Oryctolagus cuniculus: one gene and its partner. The protein of the gene in region 1 purifies or fractionates together with the protein of each later gene. This does not show direct contact. Links are inferred from orthologs where the notes say so. Each region holds a gene or a part of one and is shown on either strand. Other genes may lie near its edges.

Region 1 (8,288 bases):
TCCCCTGCCATGGTTCCCAGGCAAGCACACGGGCAGGCATATTGCTGACCAGAGAGGGGGCATGAGCACTATGGACCAACCAGAGATCAGCACACAAGCTGAACCCGCCTGTCTCAACCCCAACCTCAATAAAGTTCCTTACCCTTAATGTCTTGGGGGTCTAGGAATTAAGTCATCGTTGTCTGCACTCCTTGCTTGGAGATTTACCAATATCTACTTTCTTTCAGGGTCAGTGATGGCTCGCTGGGCTTTTCATTTATTTGAAATACTAAAAAAATTTTTTTTTATTTGAGAGGTAGAGAGAAAGGTCTTCCATGCGCTGGTTCACTTCCCCAGATGCCCGCAAAGGCTGAAGCTGCGCCGATCCAATGCCAGGAGCCAGGAGCCTCCTCCGGGTTTCCCACGCAGATGCAGGGGCCCAAGGATCTGGGCCATCTTCCACTGCTTTCCCAGGCTGTGGCAGAGAGCCGGATTGGAAGAAGAGCAGCTGGGACTCAAACCAGCACCCATATGGGATGCCAGCACTGAAGGCAGAGGATTAACCTACTGCACCACAGCACCAGCCCTGAAATACTAAAATATTTGATACAAGAAACACTTATTTTCCAGAAGTCTTGCATCCTTTTTCACTGGATTTCAGATAAGGACTATCAGTCAAGATCAGATGTTAGGATGAAGTGCATTTATGAACACATAACCATCCATCTTCAGAAAGCAAGAATATGAGGGTACTTTAAAAAGTTTGTGGGAAAAAGAATTCAAACAAATTCATTTTGGTGCAAAGACTCCTTTGAAGTCTATGCATAGAGGGGAACGGTAAGTGTAAAGAAATGAGCAATAATGGTGAAAACATTTTTCATTATTTTTAAAAACTCAATTATGCTTTATATCTTATCACCTGTATAAAATCTGCTGGCAAGGTTAGCTTCTCCTTCTGTATTTTTATTTTCAATTTAGAATATGGTCACTATTAATTAATGTTTGTCCAACAGATGACATGTAAAAAACGTATACTTAGTTCTCTATCACTAAGCCACTATTATCATGGAAAAGGAATAACTGGCAGTGTCTAAGTTAGCAGTCCAAATTCCCAAAAGCCTTAGAATGGTACTGTTCCAATGGCCACTAGCTACATGGGGCTAGGGAGTACTTAGTCCAAATTGAAATGAAACCCATATTGGAGTCTGAAAGTTTAGTAGGGGAGGGAGTAGGAACAATGGCTTTTATGTAAGAATATAAAATATTTAAATAATTTCTAAATTGACTATGTGATGGAATGGTCAAGTTCTGGGCACACTAGATTAGCTAAGTATACTATTAAGTTAATTTCATGTTTTATTTTTTAAATATCCAGTGTTGTTCAATTAAAACTTAGAAACTTTAAAAGAACTTTATTAGGGGTTTTAGGAATTGTAATTTGGGAGACACAGGTTCAGGAAGCTATGCATCTGCTCTGAGGAAGGCAGGTAAAGTGGGAGCTTATAAGAGGGAACCTGGACTACTGTGACGAATCGGGTGTAACGAAAAGGATCTGAGAGGCCGGCACTGCGGCGTAGCAGGTAAAGCTGCTGCCTGCAGAGCAAGCATCCCATATGGGCGCTAGTTCCAGTCCTGGCTGCTCCACTTCTGATCCAGCTCCCTGCTAATATGCCTGGGAAAGCAGTGGAAGATGGCACAAGTATTTCGGCCCCTGCACCCAAGTGGGAGACCTGGAAGAAGCTCCTGGCTCCTAGCTTTAGATGGGCTCAATTATGGGCCTGTAGCCATTTGAGGAGTGAACCGGTGGATGGAAGATCTCTCTCTCTCTCTCTCTCTCTCCCTCCCCCCCCCACCCATTACTCTTTAAAATAAAATTTAAAAAAGAAATAAATAAAAGGATATATAAAGAGGGTAGAAATGTCCATAGAACAAGAATCCAATTGATAGGCATCTTGAGCCTCTGGGTATAATGTAACTGGCCATTTATGTCATTTATGCATGAGGTCAAAGGTGGAGGTGACCGAAGTCCACTTTCCAGGAAGCAGCTGGAATTATGCATAAACCCTGCTCCCTTGACAACCTCTCCACTCCACTTGGAGAGGTGCATTCGATGTTTATTTCATCATAATTTTCTGCATTTTCCCAGAAGCACTGCCAGATAAAACACAGGACACCCAGTTCCATTTGCAGTTCATATATTCGTGCATGGGACACATTTCTCCTGAAAAATTATTCATTAATTAGGTAAAATTCTCATTCAACTCGGTGTATTTACTAAATAGGGAAAATTTTAATATGGCTAATAAAACATTTAAAAATACACATGTAGCTCCTTAGCCGGTGCTGCTTTAGAATCATCTAGTTGCTATTTTTTTTTTTTAATTATCAACTTCTGAGTTAACTTTTCAGAAATAACTAATCTGAGGGACACAGTTAATCCAAGGCTGGGATTGTTTATAATCTTGGGAGTTAAATTTTTACATTTGCTTGAACAAATTAAAGAACAACAAGGAGTTGGCACTGTGGCACAGCAGGTAAAGTGCTGGCATCCCATACAGGCGCCGGTTCGAATCTAGGCTGCTCCTCTTCCGATCCAGCTCTCTGCTATGGCCTGGGAAAGCAGTAGAACATGGCCCAAGTCCTTAAGCCCCTGCACCCACGTGGGAGACCTGGAAGAAGCTCCCGGCTCCTGGCTTCTGGCTTCTGAATCTGGCCGTTGCTGCCAGTTGGAGAGTGAACTAGCGGATGGAAGTCCTCTCTCTCTCTCTTTCTGCGTAACTCTGACTTTCAAATAAAGAAAGCAAGAAAGAAAAGAACAAAAGGCCTTGTTACATGGCATCTGGACCAGAATGAAAAGTCGTGGCTCTCCTCCTTCCCAGAATCCCAGTTTAACATAATCCCTGCCACTCTCACAAGGAGCCTAAGCAGCAGTGAGACCTTGGGCCAGACACACCAGTCCCTGCGGACCTGGACAGGCGACAACGGTAGCACCGGACCCTCCCACCGACCTGGCCCAGGCACAGCGCGCCTGGCCCCTGACGCCGACGTCCTGACTCGGCTTCGGGGCCGTCAGCGCTCGCACTCGGGGTCGGCCCAGGGGCACAGGCCGGGGACGCGCCGCAGGTGCACCCGGCGGCCAGAGCCCTCCACCCGCCGCCGCGCCCCGCCGCAGCTCCGCCCCCGCCCGCGCCGCGCCGCCGGCCGGAGGGGCGGGCCTTGCAGCCCAGGCCCAGGGCCCGCCCCAGCCTGGCGCCCTATGTAAGGCCGGTGGCGGCGCCCGAGCGCCAGGAGCTCGCGAGCCTGCTCGGCCGAAGGACGGTCTCGGTGTCGGGTCCCTGCTCCGCCGGACGCCCGGGAGCACACGCGCACGCGCACGCGCTCGCCGCGCCCCGCCCCGCCCCCGCGCGCCGCAGTGTCCGCGACCCCGGGCGGCGCGCCGCGGGCGGCTGAGGGCGGCATGCGGGACTACGAGGAGGTGACCGCGTTCCTGGGCGAGTGGGGACCCTTCCAGCGCCTCATCTTCTTCCTGCTCAGCGCCAGCATCATCCCAAACGGCTTCAATGGCCTCTCGTCCGTGTTCCTCATGGCGACCCCGGAGCACCGCTGCCGGGTGCCGGAGTCGGCGAACCTGAGCAGCGCGTGGCGCAACCACAGTGTCCCGCTGCGGCTTCAGGACGGCCGCGAGGTGCCCCACAGCTGCCGGCGCTACCGGCTCGCCGCCATCGCCAACTTCTCGGCGCTGGGGCTGGAGCCCGGGCGCGACGTGGACCTGGAGCAGCTGGAGCAGGAGAGCTGCTTGGATGGCTGGGAGTACAGCCAGGACGTGTACCTGTCCACCATCGTGACCGAGGTGGGTGCCGCGCCGGCCGCCGGGCCAGGGGCGCAAAGGCAGCTACCTCTTCGGTCCTCAAATCCACCGCCACCAGCCCAGGTGCAATGTTAACTCTCATCTTAGAATACCCTGGTGGCTCCGGAACGTGTTGCCCGGTGACATCCAGCCAGACCGTGCCCCTGCAATAGCAGGTGTTAGGCTGCCTCTCCCGCGCCTTCCTCACGGCCACCTTGGAGAGGGAGTCCAGAAGGGACGTCCTCTGGCTTGAGGGTGGGAGTGGTGAGTGGCAGAGCCGGAGCTTGGAACGTGGAGCTGGCACCATCTCTCCTCTGGCTTCCTGGCATGCGTTCCCACTAGAGAAATACTCCTGTGCTGAGCTTTGATAGTCAAGGGAAACATGTGTCCAAGACTGCCTGTTCCCTCCCTGGGACAGCCCTGTGAGGAACTGTCCACCTCTTGCCCCGGATCACTTGTCAAACTTTTGACAGCCTTGTGTCTGAAGATACAGGTGCCTTGTGAACGTTTTGTGGGATGCTCCCAGGTGAACTGGGCAGCCACGCTGCGTTCAAGTGCACAAGCTTTGTTTGTGGAGGGTAGTGGAGGTCTTGGTCCCCAGCCCCTCAGATTTTCCTTTCCAGGGGTTGTGTCTGTCCCCTGGTGCACCTGCTGTCCTTGGGGCTCAGTGCCTGACATGACGTTAGTGGTGCAGGTGAGTGTCCTTTGTGTCTTGCTTAGGCATTGCCCGGAGTGTCCACAGAACTGAGGAAGCAGAGCAGTGGACAGAGCACTCCTTTGTAGGTACTGGGTCACCTGTGTGTCATGTTTAGGGATTCCCAGGTTAGGAAAGGTCTCCTACAGGAGATGTTGCCTGCCCAGTGACTCTGGGATGACCCAGATGCAATAGCACGAATTTGTGCACGCAGGGCAGAGTTCACAGGGAGGGGAGGCGGCAGGGACCCAGTGTGGCATCAGACGGTAACGTTCCCTCTTGGAGCCTTACGGGGGCTCTGGGGCTCCAGGTGTGTTCTTTCCAGGGAGTCTGAGCGCTGTCCTGGGAAGCTCAGACATGTGTTTGCGTAGAGAAATTTGATGTCCCCAGCACCTGTGAACTGAGTGTGACCTGAACCCCACAGGGAGTGACATCATTGCAGTATCCTCAGGCGTTCTCAGGGACAAAAGGGCAGAATGGAGGTAGCTGACCATGATCTGGGGACTCAAACCTCCAGAGAATGCATGGAGAACGGGAGCTTTCGGTGGGTACGGGTCTTGGGTCCTAGCCTTCCAAGTGAGTTTGTTCCCTTCCTAGAAGCCAGGGAGAACTGGCTTGTCCACACAGTCACAGGTAGGGGCCACTGAGGGAAAGCCAGACTTCACGACACAGAAGTCCCTATGCATCTGCTAGGGGCTGCCGGAGGAAGGGGGCAGGCGTGAAGCTGGAAGAGGCCCAGGGCTTCCCAGGATTTCCCCGGACCCTTGAGGGTCCCCTAGCCTGACCCCATCATTGGCTGCTGTCCTTCAGTGCCCACACCCTGCCCTCAGCTGAGAGAGGTAGCAGCCCCGAGGCGCTCCCACGGCCCGGCGGATCCGGTGCTGCCCGTGTTAGTCCGCCTTGTATTCTTTTGTTTAGACTATTCATTTCGCTGTCTCAGCAGTTTCGTCAAAGCTCTATGCCCTTTCGCCTACTTCCAGGTTTTCCGTCTCTGTGGAGAGGAAAATTAATACACAGTCCTTTGTTTTGGGATCTGGAATGCGTGAGTTCGGGCTGCTGTTCTCAGGTGAACAGTCGCTGTTGGGAGCTGCTGCAGCAACATTCTGAAAGGTTTCTTTTTTTTTTTTTTTTCCTAAGGTCCACTTTCTTTCAACCAGGCCCATTGACCACTGTAGCTTGTCCTGTGCCTGCCAAATGTCTCTAAGCCTGCCCTGTGTGCCAGATCCCACAGAGAGGCGTTTGCACAATGGGATTAAATTCTTGTTCCTAGGTTTCAACAGAGACTAAAGCCTCAGATCTGCAGTTTGTTTTTTCCCTGGTTCACATCAAGGTGCATCCACTTGCAGTGAACTGGGCAGCTTATGATTGATTGGCTTAATGAATGATTTAAGGAATCTTCTCTAAAGTTGGAGAAAAATGGATAGTTTTTAGGAGGGAAACTTGGGGGGTAGCCAGAAAGGATCGACCGGGGTATTCTCAAGGAACTGAGATTCTCCACCCTGTGTCCCGGGGTGTGGTACTGTGGATCTGGAGCAAGGCACTGGACTTGGCAGGAAGAAGCGGGCAGGTTGTGAAGTGAACGGGCTCAGGAATTGCCTGATGGTGCGCATGCTTCTAGGCCAGCCCCCACCTCGCCTCTTAGTCATCCCTGGGCTGTGGGGACTCACGCAGTCCCCCTGGCGGTGCTTCTGGGCCCGGGACTGCCCCCTCCTCTGCAAACCTGTGTGGTTTCTCAGATTGCCCACGCACCCCGAAGCCCGTTCCAGCGTGCAGGCACAGAGGTTCCTTTGGAACTTTTGCGCCCTTCTGACTCCTGGGAGTTGTTAGGAACCCCCCCCCCCCCAAGCTGAGACCTGACCTGCGCATCGGCCTGTACCCAGTTTGAATCCCTCTCTGGCTATCTGAGGACATCCTTGGCTCAGAGTTCTGACAGTTGCCACGAGGCAGGGGGTCAGGGAGCAAGGAAAATAACTCATCCAGAGACAGAGATTCAGGGTTCCTCTGCACTTTGGGTAGTGAAGCCCAAGGGCCAAGCCTAAAGGATACTGAAGGGTGGTGGTGAAGGTTGACAGCCCTTTCGTTTACCCACTCCCTCTCTCACCGTGTGGCCAAACAGTCCCTGAGCCTCTCCTCTCAATGGGGCACTGCCAGATGTAGAGGATGCATTAGCTGATAACCTCTTGACTTTGCCCTGACAGCCTTGAGGCCAGAATGGCAGCCAGAGGCAGGACGAGATTGTCCGGCACACAGCGTGTTCGGTAACACGTAGTGCTTACCGGGCTGTTTGACCACTGGTGCGGTGAGGTCAGGTACATCTGGGAAGAGCTTCTGCCTCCTGGGCAAAGACCCTGTCTTTTCCCTTCCAGCCAGTTCATAGGTCAGAATGTTCAGTCCCAGGGAGCTCTGTCATCTCGACTTCCCATTACTGAAAAGTAGCACCAGTCATGTGTAAGTAGAAGAGACACGATTCTTTCTCAGAGACACAAGTCTTTTTCAAAAGAGGTAACAGCTTTGTTGCAATGTAGAAGACATTTTTAAAAACTGTACATCCAAGGTGTGCAGTAGGAAAAGCTTGAGCACGTGTGCCTGTAGTCCTGTGAGACCATCACCACCCGAAAGGCACGTTTCTGACCAAGAAGCACAGCCAATCTTGCTGCTTTGCCAGAGTTACTCCCAGCTGTTTTCAGTGGGGCCTGCTTTCCCGGATTATCCAGCCAAGGGGTAACCATGCCAGACTCGTGGTTGAGTCTTAAACCCACACATTCAAGTGGAGGCGTGGATGAGCTGGGAGCTGGGAGTTTAGTACCTTTCAGGGCACCAGTGCCTTCGGAAACACATGAAGCAGGGGTAGGGAGGTGGTACTTGGCTTGGACTCTGGACTGCTCACCCAGTCCCCCAAATGAGGATTCAGGCAAAGTCCTGCAGCCCGCTGCAGCCTGCCCAGTGGTTGTCAGGTGAGTGGATGGATTGGCTGGGTGGGACCCATTCCATGTCAGTTTTGGCAGTCTTTCACCTTTCCTGACCCCTGATCACAGGCCTCTGGCTGGCAGGAAAGAAGTATTAGGACATGTTTGCTTTTGGAGGGCCCAGTGCCAGACTCTGAGCATGGTCCAAGACTGACAGTGGTGGGTGGTGGGCACAGTTACTCTGGAGTTACACAGCTGCCTAGATGAAGGACAGGCCAGACTACCTGGGGAGGGTGGGGCTGAGGGACCCCGAGAGATGCCCTGGGATCACGCCGAGATGCACTCCACAGTCTTCCTGTCCCCTGCAGGGCAGCATCTGACCTGGTTTCAGTTAGCACCCAGCCTGGTCAGCTCAGGAGTCTGTTCCTGGGAGACCTCACCTAGGAGCTGCAACCCTAGCGCTGGCCACGGTGCCTGTGTGTATTTCTGTGTCTCTGAGCCTTGCCGGCCCCTGACTCAAGACAGAGTAGTTGAGAAACAGTGATTGGCCCTTTATTTATTCATTCTTGAGCTCCAGAGTGGCCCCTAAAGGTCAGCCCAGCATCCCCATTGCCGATCGGCTCAGCTCTGCCTCCCCACTGCTCCCAGTCTTGGCTTTTGCAGACACAGTTGCTGTGTCTGGGTGCTGGTACCTCTGAGGCTGTGAGGTGGGAAGGCTGTGGCAGCCTGAGCTGTCAGGTTTTTGCACCAAGAGTCAGTGTCCTCCAGATAGAGGTAGAGGGGGAGATACTTCCAGTCCTGCCCCTGGGTTGGGGATCACCACTGTGAGTGCTTCTAAGTGCATCTGACCCTAAAGCAGGAA
Region 2 (8,365 bases), on another chromosome or scaffold:
GAGGAGGAAGGGGTGGGTGGTGAGAGGGCCTCAGAGGAGCTGGGCCACTTTCTGCACCGGCTGCAGAGCCTTGCAGTCCTGGCTGGAAGTTCCTGGTCTTGTGGCCTTCGGAAGCCCTGCCAGGCGCCACAGAGGTGCTGAAGCAGCTACAGTGTGGTGGCGGTGCCGGCCCCATCAGAGAGACGTCACCAGGGCTGTCATTCAGTCCTCCACTCCACAGCTGGAGGAGCCTGCCAGCCACGGAGTCCAGCTGGGCTCACTGGGACTGCAGAGTCACGGCCACAGCCTTGGCTGTGGCGTTGAGCACGGCGGCAGGTAGCTTGGCAGCAGGCAGCGCGGCGGGGATGTCTCTGGGGACTCTCTGCATGGGCGGGACGTTGGGGCCCTCCAGCGTGTCCAGGATCCCTGAAAGCAGGATGGAGGGGGAGCGGGGGTCGGCTGGGCCCTCCCTGGGCCACCGCGCTGCCGCTCTCCCACTGCAGGCTCCCCGCCACTCACCTTCCACCACCTTGTGGTAGGCAAAATGCAGATAGAGCAGGAAGAGCATGTGCAGGGCGGCCAGGGTGCCGCAGAGCAGCAGCCGCTGGGTGGGGCCGACGGTTCGTGACACCAGCACCGCCACCTGGGGCCGCAGGAATACAGCTCAGAGCCTTGTTCCAAAGTGAGGGTGGGGAGACCACCCTCCCACCCAAGGCAGATGGCTCCTTGAGCCCTCCCCTCCCGTTCAGAGCCCTCTGTGGGGTGGACAGCTCTGGGCTGTCAGCCGCAACTCCCTGGGAGGACGGCCCGCCCCTAGACCGTGGCCCAGCTCACCATGCGCAGGGTGGACAGCCCGCCCACCAGCAGCCAGAAGAGGTAGAAGAGGGCGTGCAGGTGGATGTTGTAGGTGATGAACAGGACAATGCAGTGCCCGAAGAGGCCATAGCCCTGGGAAGGATGGGGAGGGGAGGCTCACTCAGCCAGGCTGGCCTCTGGCCCCTCGGGGGACTCGGGAATGAACGCGTCACTGGTCCACTCCTCAAACTCCAGGTCCTGGGGCCCCAGGAAAGATGCAGCCCAAGCTTTTAAGACCACCCTTGTGCACCACCCGGCCCGGCTCCTTACCAGCAGGGCCAGCATCTGCAGCATGGTGATCTGGGCGTTGCACAGGTAGGCGAGGAAGTAAATGAAAGACGAGACGCCTAGCCAGTAGCCGAAGCAGGTGCCAATGGCAGTGCCCATCAGGGTGCCCTCCCGCTGCGGGCAAAGGCTCTCCTTAGTCCTGGGAGGCCTCTGATCTGAGCCTCACCCACTTCCTCCACAGGGACCACCCCTGCCTCACTCCATCATCTCCTCGGGCGACTTGCACCCCCCACCCCCCGCAACCTCCCCCGCCTCCGTCTGGCTTACGATAATGGTGTCGGATGTCTTCATTCCATGCAGGAGGATGGCAACCAGCGTGAAGACCAGCATGAGAGGACCATAGAGCTCACCTGCGATTTTCTGTCAATACACCGGCTCACTCAGGCTGGAGGCTACGCTCCTCTGTGTATGCTACCCCCTGCCCCCGCCCCAGAGCCACCCCCAACACTCAGGAACAGGCCGACCCCACTCACCTGTGGGAAGTTGACCATCTTGATAGGGATCATGGACTCCAGGAGCCTGGGAGAGGAGAGGAGAGGACAGCTGAGGCAGCGCTAGGCTACGAGGCTCATGGCCTGAACCTTAGTCCTCTAACTCCAGGGGCTGGGGCCTGGCCCAGAGGGCATGCTGGGTGACAGGGAGAAAAGGGGCCCAAAGACAGGGAATGAGGAAATTACTCTCTTGCCCCTAAAGCTACTTCCACGAAGGACAGCCCTCTAAGACTAAGCAGCCAGAGTAGCAGCTGTATGAGAACTGAGTGCAGCGGACCTTGGGAGAGGGCCTGACCATCTGTCTGCCCGACCTGCTCTCCGTAAGAGACAGGCAAACCACGGCAGGGAGCGCGTGGGGTTCAGTGCTGACGACGCAGCCCGGGACAGAAGAACCCATGGGCCTCCTGCTGTTGCTTCTTCCTGCTTACTGCTCAGCCGACACTGCAAAGCTTTTTTTTTAAGATTTATTTTATTTTGAAATGCAGAATTACAGAGACAGACAGACAAAGAGAAATCTTCCATCCTCTGGTTCACTCCCCAAATGGCCACAACAGCTGGGGGTGGGCCAGACCGAAGCCAGGAGCCAGGAGCTTCATCCAGGTTTCCCACGTGGATGCAGGGGCCCAAGCACATGGGGCATCTCCCATGGCTTTCCCAAGTGCATTAGCAGGGAGCTGGATCAGAAGTGGAGCAGCCGGACTCAAGCTGGCGCCCATAAGGAATGCTGGTGTTGCAGGCAGTGGCTTTACCTGCTATGCCACAATGCTGGCCCCATGAGCATCTTTTTGAAAAATATATTTGAAGTGGTATCAAAATTCCATACAGAAGGAATAAAAGTCCCTGTGACTGTCCTAAGTGGCTGGCTAACAATACTTCGGATTTTAGCTAGATTTTTCTTCCTCTGGGAAACCTGCCCTGTCCGAAGCACTAGCGACGCTGCCCAGGTGTCCCCCCTCCCGTGGGCCCCACTGAAGCTCAGGACACTGTGCTGCAACCACCCTCACCACGGACGCAGAGGGCATCAGCAGGGTCTGACACCGAGCGGATGTTTAGTAAGCTCTTGCCAAGTGATTCTATTCAATAAGCACTGGTTCAACTAAAAGATGAACAAGGAATCAAGCCACGATTCAGTCTAGTACTTGACTATGCCCTGATGTTCTGGTTTCAGGGATAAAAAGATGAACAAGGAAGGGGCCAGTGTTTGGCACACCAGGTTAAGTGCTGCTTGCAATCCCACGTCAGAGTGCCAGTTCCTGTCCTGCCTGCTCCACTTCTGATCCAGCTTCCTGCTAACGTGCCTGGGAGGCCGTGGGAAACGGCCCTACTGTTGGGGTGCCTACAAGGGAAACCCAGATGGAGTCACACTGGCTCTTGGCTAAAGCCAAGGGCAGTGGCCCAGCTCTGGCTACTGCAGCCGTTTGGGGAGTGAACCAGCAGACAGAAGATTTCTCTCTCTGTCCTGTCACTCTTTCAAATAAATAAATAAATCTTAATAAAAAAAACCCACAGTGAAGGATATGATTACCCAATAAGGTGGGTAACTGTAACTTAAAGAAATAAAGACTGTAACTTAAATAAAGTAAAACAAACAAACAAAGATGAACCAGACGGAGCCTGGGGAGACAGACGTGGAAGAAGAGAGCGTAGCAGTGCTGAACTGAAAATGCACCCCGAGTGAACGAGGCGGGCTGGGGCTCAGAAACGCAGAGCAAAGGAGGCGACACTTGAGCTCAACTTTGGAGGAAGAGGAGTAGAAACGAATTGGTGCCCTGTGCGGGGAGGAGGGGTGAGGGCGTCAGGAAGGACAGCAGAGCCCAGGGCTGGGTGAGGGACCGGGGCTCAGGAGGTGAGCCTCACCTGCTGCGCACCTGGGCAGGCTCCACATCGAAGTAGGGTCTCAGGATGTCGATGTTGGCATACAAACTGAAGGCTCTGGAAGCTTGTCTCTTCCCGGCCTGCCACATCTGAGCGGAGATGCGGGGATGGCCCGTGAGGCTCCTGGCCCTGGGGTCCTGCTCCCTAGCTTCTGTCGGGGTTCTACTGGGCTCCAACTGGGGCAGCCTGAGGTCAAGGTCACCCACACGACTCCAGATCGCGCAGGTATCCTGCACTTGCCAAGGATTCAGCCCCGCTTACCTGGTCAGCCACCTGCCGGCTCAGCTGCCCCTTAAAGCCCTTCATGCCCAGGAACTCCCCATCCTCCTCTTCCGCAGCGGCCGCGTCGGCGTCCACTTCTTCCTCGCGCAGGCGCTGGTGCAGCTCACCCATGTCCTCGAAGCTGGAGCCCGAGGTGTCATCCATGTTCTCCATGTCAATCACGGCAGAGCCCCCACCCTGTGAAGGCAATGCCTCCTACAGTGCAGGCCTTTCTGGTCCCTGCCCCGCTGCTGGCGCCGCGCCTCCGAATCCCCGCACATCAGGCCACTGTCACCCCTCACTTTCTCTCAGAACCCCCTGGCTGCTGGTTCCGGCGCTCTCCTCTAGCCCGAGAAGCCACCTACTTGTCTTCCGCTCATGCCTTTTCCCCACCTTCCCCATCAAAGGCCCCGAGGGTTTGCAAGGCGCAAGCAAGACCATGCACACAAGATGTTTCTGGCGAGTGCCAGCGAATCCCGCCCACTGCCCCGCTTGACCCCGATTGACCTCCTCTTCTGTCTCTCTTCCTAACGCCTCAGGCGCGTCCAGAGACCCGAGGCCCTCCGGCCGGCACTAGCTTCACTGACTTTCCCGTGCACGAAGACCCAAAGGGGAGAGGAGTGTTGCAAATGGAGGAAGCTTTCGGGCCCCGAGGGAGGCTTCCCCAGACACGTCGGGGTGGCCGGCAGCCGAAGCGCTGGGGCCATTACCTGGATGTTTTCTTCGAACCCGCCCCATTCCGGGCCGGCCCCGTTTCGAGCGCCGCCGGCCGGCGCCGCGGTGGCTGCCATGTCCCTGGAGGGCTCCCGTCCCCGAAGCCAGCGCTAGCCCCGCGCGCGGAGGAAGAGGGGGCAGACGTGGGCCTGAGGCACGGAGACGTCCAGGGCCGAGGACAGGCGCCACCAGCCGGAACGCAAAAAAGAGAAACCCGGATGTTTGGCCCAGACAGACTTCCGGAAGTTGGGGACGTGGACGGAGGCGGGGCAAAGTCTCGCGATACGTCGGGCTCCGGGAGGCGGTGCGTTGCCACGGCGACGGAGGAAAGCCGCTAGAACGCACGCGCAGGCGTGAGGCCTTAGTCTCGTGGGGGAAGTCGAAGATGGCGGCGGCTCAGGCCGTTGAAGAAATGCGGAGCCGCGTGGTTTTAGGGGAGTTCGGAGTTCGGAATGTAAGCCTTGTGGCCTTGAGTTCAGAAGGAAGTATGAGAGGGACGGGTCGGGATCAAAGTGAGGGCGGGCTTGGCTTCGCTGCCTCTTCACGGACGGACCCGTATCTCTAGGTTCATACCACCGACTTCCCCGGGAACTATTCCGGTTATGATGATGCCTGGGATCAGGACCGCTTCGAGAAGGTGCGTGGGGCCGGAGTGTGATCGGAGCAGCCCGGGCTTCCGAGCTGCTCCCAGGGGTCACTCACGTGGCAAAACCAAGTTTGCTCAGCATCCGACCGTGTCCTGGGCGCTCCTTGCACACCGGGCTTCTGCCTTGTTCTGCGATCGAGCTGTTCAGGCCTGTACAGGTCATTCTAGTTGGATGCGGTGACGGCGGCTGAGAGTGGGGGTGGGGCACCCCTCAGAGACGGTCTAGACTGGGGCAGAATCATAGGATTCCCTGAAGGAAGTGACATCTGAGTTTGAGCCCTGAACGGTGAGTGAAGGTCGAGGAGGGAGGAGTAAGCGAGCTAACTTGTAAAGACGGGGTGGGCGTGTCCCTAGAATGTCCGAACCGCGCATTATTGATAGAATGTTACACTGGCCTGACGGCGGGCACTGGGGGTTCTTGAGCAGGCGTGACCAGGTGATCCGGTTTGCAGCTTTGGTGGTTGAGAAGGAGGAGAAGGGGCGGGCAGATCGCTAGGCAGTGCTGGGGGAAGGAGCCCAGGAGTGCTTTGGTGAGAGCGGTCAGGACTTTCTGGCTGTGGGAACTCATCTGACGGCTGGCGGTGCCTGGGCAGTGGGAACGATGACCCATTCGGTTCCCCGCGGTGTGGAGGAGCTAGCAGCCCAGGAGAGCGTTCGACAGAATGTGGGGAGTTGTCCATAGTAGTTGCTAAAACCGTGAGTGTGGTTGATGTCACTTTGGAGAGAGACAAGAAGCTGGGGACCGGTAACACCTAGGTGGTGGGTGGAAGGAGACGCAACTCCTCAGATGGAGGACTGGTGCCCAGACACGGAGGAGATGGGGTTTGAGAAAGGAGTTTTTTTTTTTTTTTTTTTTTTTTTTTTTAATTCAATGCCAAATGTAACATTAGTAAGAAAAGAACTGAGTCCTGTCAGCTGGACTAAACTGTATAGAAGTTTCTGCTCTTCATAGAATAGCTTCTGGCTCAAGCCATATTGCATAGGATTTTCAACTAGTGGCATACAAAACTGGGGGCATTGTTCAAGAAACTAAAAGAACAGAGGAAGAAAACATCAAATGAGGCTTTGCTGGGCAGAGGAAGGCTTCTGGGGGAGCGGGGATGTTCCGTGTCAAGGGGGAGCTGTAGCCAGGTCACACCAAGAGCAGGCTCCATCCACTTGTTTTTCCTTTGCCTCTAGAACTTCCGCGTGGATGTGGTACACATGGATGAAAACTCGCTGGAGTTTGACATGGTGGGAATTGATGCGGCCATTGCCAATGCTTTCCGGCGAATTCTGCTGGCGGAGGTATCAGCGGGGCCGGTGACGGCTGGAGCGTGGGGAAGTGTGCCATCACCTCATCTGTCAGTGTCTCAAGTTGCCCCCCCCCCCCCCCCCCGATTTTGTGGAGTGTTTTGCTTTAAGTTTTTATGAGGCATTCTTCTAGGAGTTGTCCATCTCAGGAGGTGGGGAGTCTGCCGGGTTTTTATAGACGGGTAATCCTGGTCTCTGGGTAGGTGCCCACAATGGCTGTGGAGAAGGTACTGGTGTACAACAACACATCCATCGTGCAGGATGAGATCCTGGCTCACCGCCTGGGGCTCATTCCCATTCATGCTGATCCACGACTGTTTGAATATCGGAACCAAGGTGAGGGCCTGGGAGATGAAGCTGTTGGGGGAAGTGGAACCGCTTTCTTCCTTAGTAGATCCTGGGACCAGCTGCCTGGGTTCGAATCCTGGGTTGACTCTTGTGGCCCTGGGCAAGTGACTCATCATCTGTGGACGAGAGGAGCAGCACACGGGTAGCACTCGGCAGTGTCTACCCTGATGCTCACTGCTGCTGTAAGGGCCGCCTCTTCCCTTTGTGCAGGGGACGACGAGGGCACAGAGATAGACACTCTGCAGTTTCGGCTGCAGGTCAGGTGCACTCGGAACCCCCACGCTGCTAAAGATTCCTCTGACCCCAACGAGCTCTATGTGAATCACAAAGGTTAGTGGGCAAGGAGGGAGGCCTGGCTGCTGGCTGTGGGGGCGTCTCGGGGCTACAGCCCTCTGACTTGTCTTCCCTCCAGTGTACACCAGGCACATGACGTGGGTTCCCCTGGGGAACCAGGCTGACCTCTTCCCTGAGGGCACTATCCGGCCGGTGCACGATGATATCCTCATTGCCCAGCTGCGACCTGGCCAAGAGATTGACCTGCTCATGCACTGTGTCAAGGGCATCGGTGAGACCCGTGGGCCGCCTCAGGTGCAGGGCGTAGCTTAGTCGCCGCAGGAATCCAGGGATGCTCCTGACCGGCAGAAGGCGGTGGGCTTGGGCTTTCGCGCTCAGTGGCTCGGGAGAGGATTCCCCCAGGCTGATCTCTCCCTTCCCTGCAGGCAAGGACCACGCCAAGTTCTCACCAGTGGCGACAGCCAGTTACAGGCTCCTGCCAGACATTACCCTGCTTGCACCCATAGAAGGGGAAGCGGCTGAGGAGCTGAGCCAGTGCTTCTCACCAGGTGTCATTGAGGTCCAGGAAGTCCAAGGTATGGTATCAGGGATGGTGCTCAGGTCAGGCCGTGTGGTCTACTTTTGTAAAAGTAGCATAGGCATAACCATTCTGGGCTTGGAGACAAAGTATAACATGGTTTTCATTAGGTAAAAAGGTGGCCAGAGTTGCCAATCCCCGGCTAGATACCTTCAGCAGGGAAATCTTCCGGAATGAGAAACTGAAGAAGCTTGTCCGGCTTGCCCGGGTTCGAGATCATTATATCTGTGAGTATGAGGTGCTGAGGGTATGAGTGTATGTACAGGGCGCGGGGAGGGGGTGGCTGTGCCCTTTGGTGCTGTAGTTTACTTTTTGAGTCCAGATGTGGAATTCAACTAGCCTTGCCTAAGGTAAAGCATCTCTTTTGTCCCCAGTCTCTGTTGAGTCCACGGGGGTGCTGCCACCAGATGTGCTGGTGAGTGAAGCCATCAAGGTCTTGATGGGGAAGTGCCGGCGGTTCCTGGACGAACTAGACGCGGTTCAGATGGACTGAAGTCTGCACTGGAGCTCCCGGGACGGCTGGGCTTGGCTGCTGGTGAGCCGAGCTGAAGGCTCTGGGTTCTGACCTACCTGCCCCCACAGGACTGCTGCACCCAGTATGACCAGGGGTCCTGAGTTTTCTGGGACAATTCCAGCTTTATTTTCAATGAATACATTTTGTTAAATATATCACAAAGTGAGTCTTTTATGCCTTTGTAAGGCCTGGATGTAAATAAATTTATGTCCAAACAGATAAGTTCTTGA

The links.
Region 2: the proteins of organic cation/carnitine transporter 2 (region 1) and YIPF3 purify together in Homo sapiens (co-immunoprecipitation; 3 studies listed by BioGRID and IntAct, counting the BioPlex papers as one, with this or other methods). This does not show direct contact. The link is inferred for Oryctolagus cuniculus from reciprocal best matches to the Homo sapiens genes SLC22A5 and YIPF3.

The regions. Positions count from the first base shown.
Region 1 is NC_091437.1:20,898,759-20,907,046, forward strand, and holds the start of organic cation/carnitine transporter 2, read left to right. Parts: upstream 1-3,279; 5' UTR 3,280-3,436; coding exon 3,437-3,829; intron 3,830-8,288. UniProt on the Homo sapiens protein: Sodium-ion dependent, high affinity carnitine transporter. Involved in the active cellular uptake of carnitine. Transports one sodium ion with one molecule of carnitine.
Region 2 is NC_091436.1:126,547,739-126,556,103, reverse strand, and holds the start of YIPF3 (protein YIPF3), read right to left. Parts: upstream 4,614-8,365; 5' UTR 4,541-4,613; coding exon 4,460-4,540; intron 3,948-4,459; coding exon 3,750-3,947; intron 3,578-3,749; coding exon 3,471-3,577; intron 1,642-3,470; coding exon 1,596-1,641; intron 1,483-1,595; coding exon 1,390-1,482; intron 1,237-1,389; coding exon 1,105-1,236; intron 928-1,104; coding exon 814-927; intron 623-813; coding exon 499-622; intron 406-498; coding exon 257-405; 3' UTR 1-256. Other genes in the region: POLR1C (DNA-directed RNA polymerases I and III subunit RPAC1), read left to right, coding at 4,849-4,917, 5,029-5,100, 6,289-6,396, 6,606-6,738, 6,961-7,080, 7,163-7,315, 7,470-7,619, 7,732-7,848 and 1 more. UniProt on the Homo sapiens protein: Involved in the maintenance of the Golgi structure. May play a role in hematopoiesis.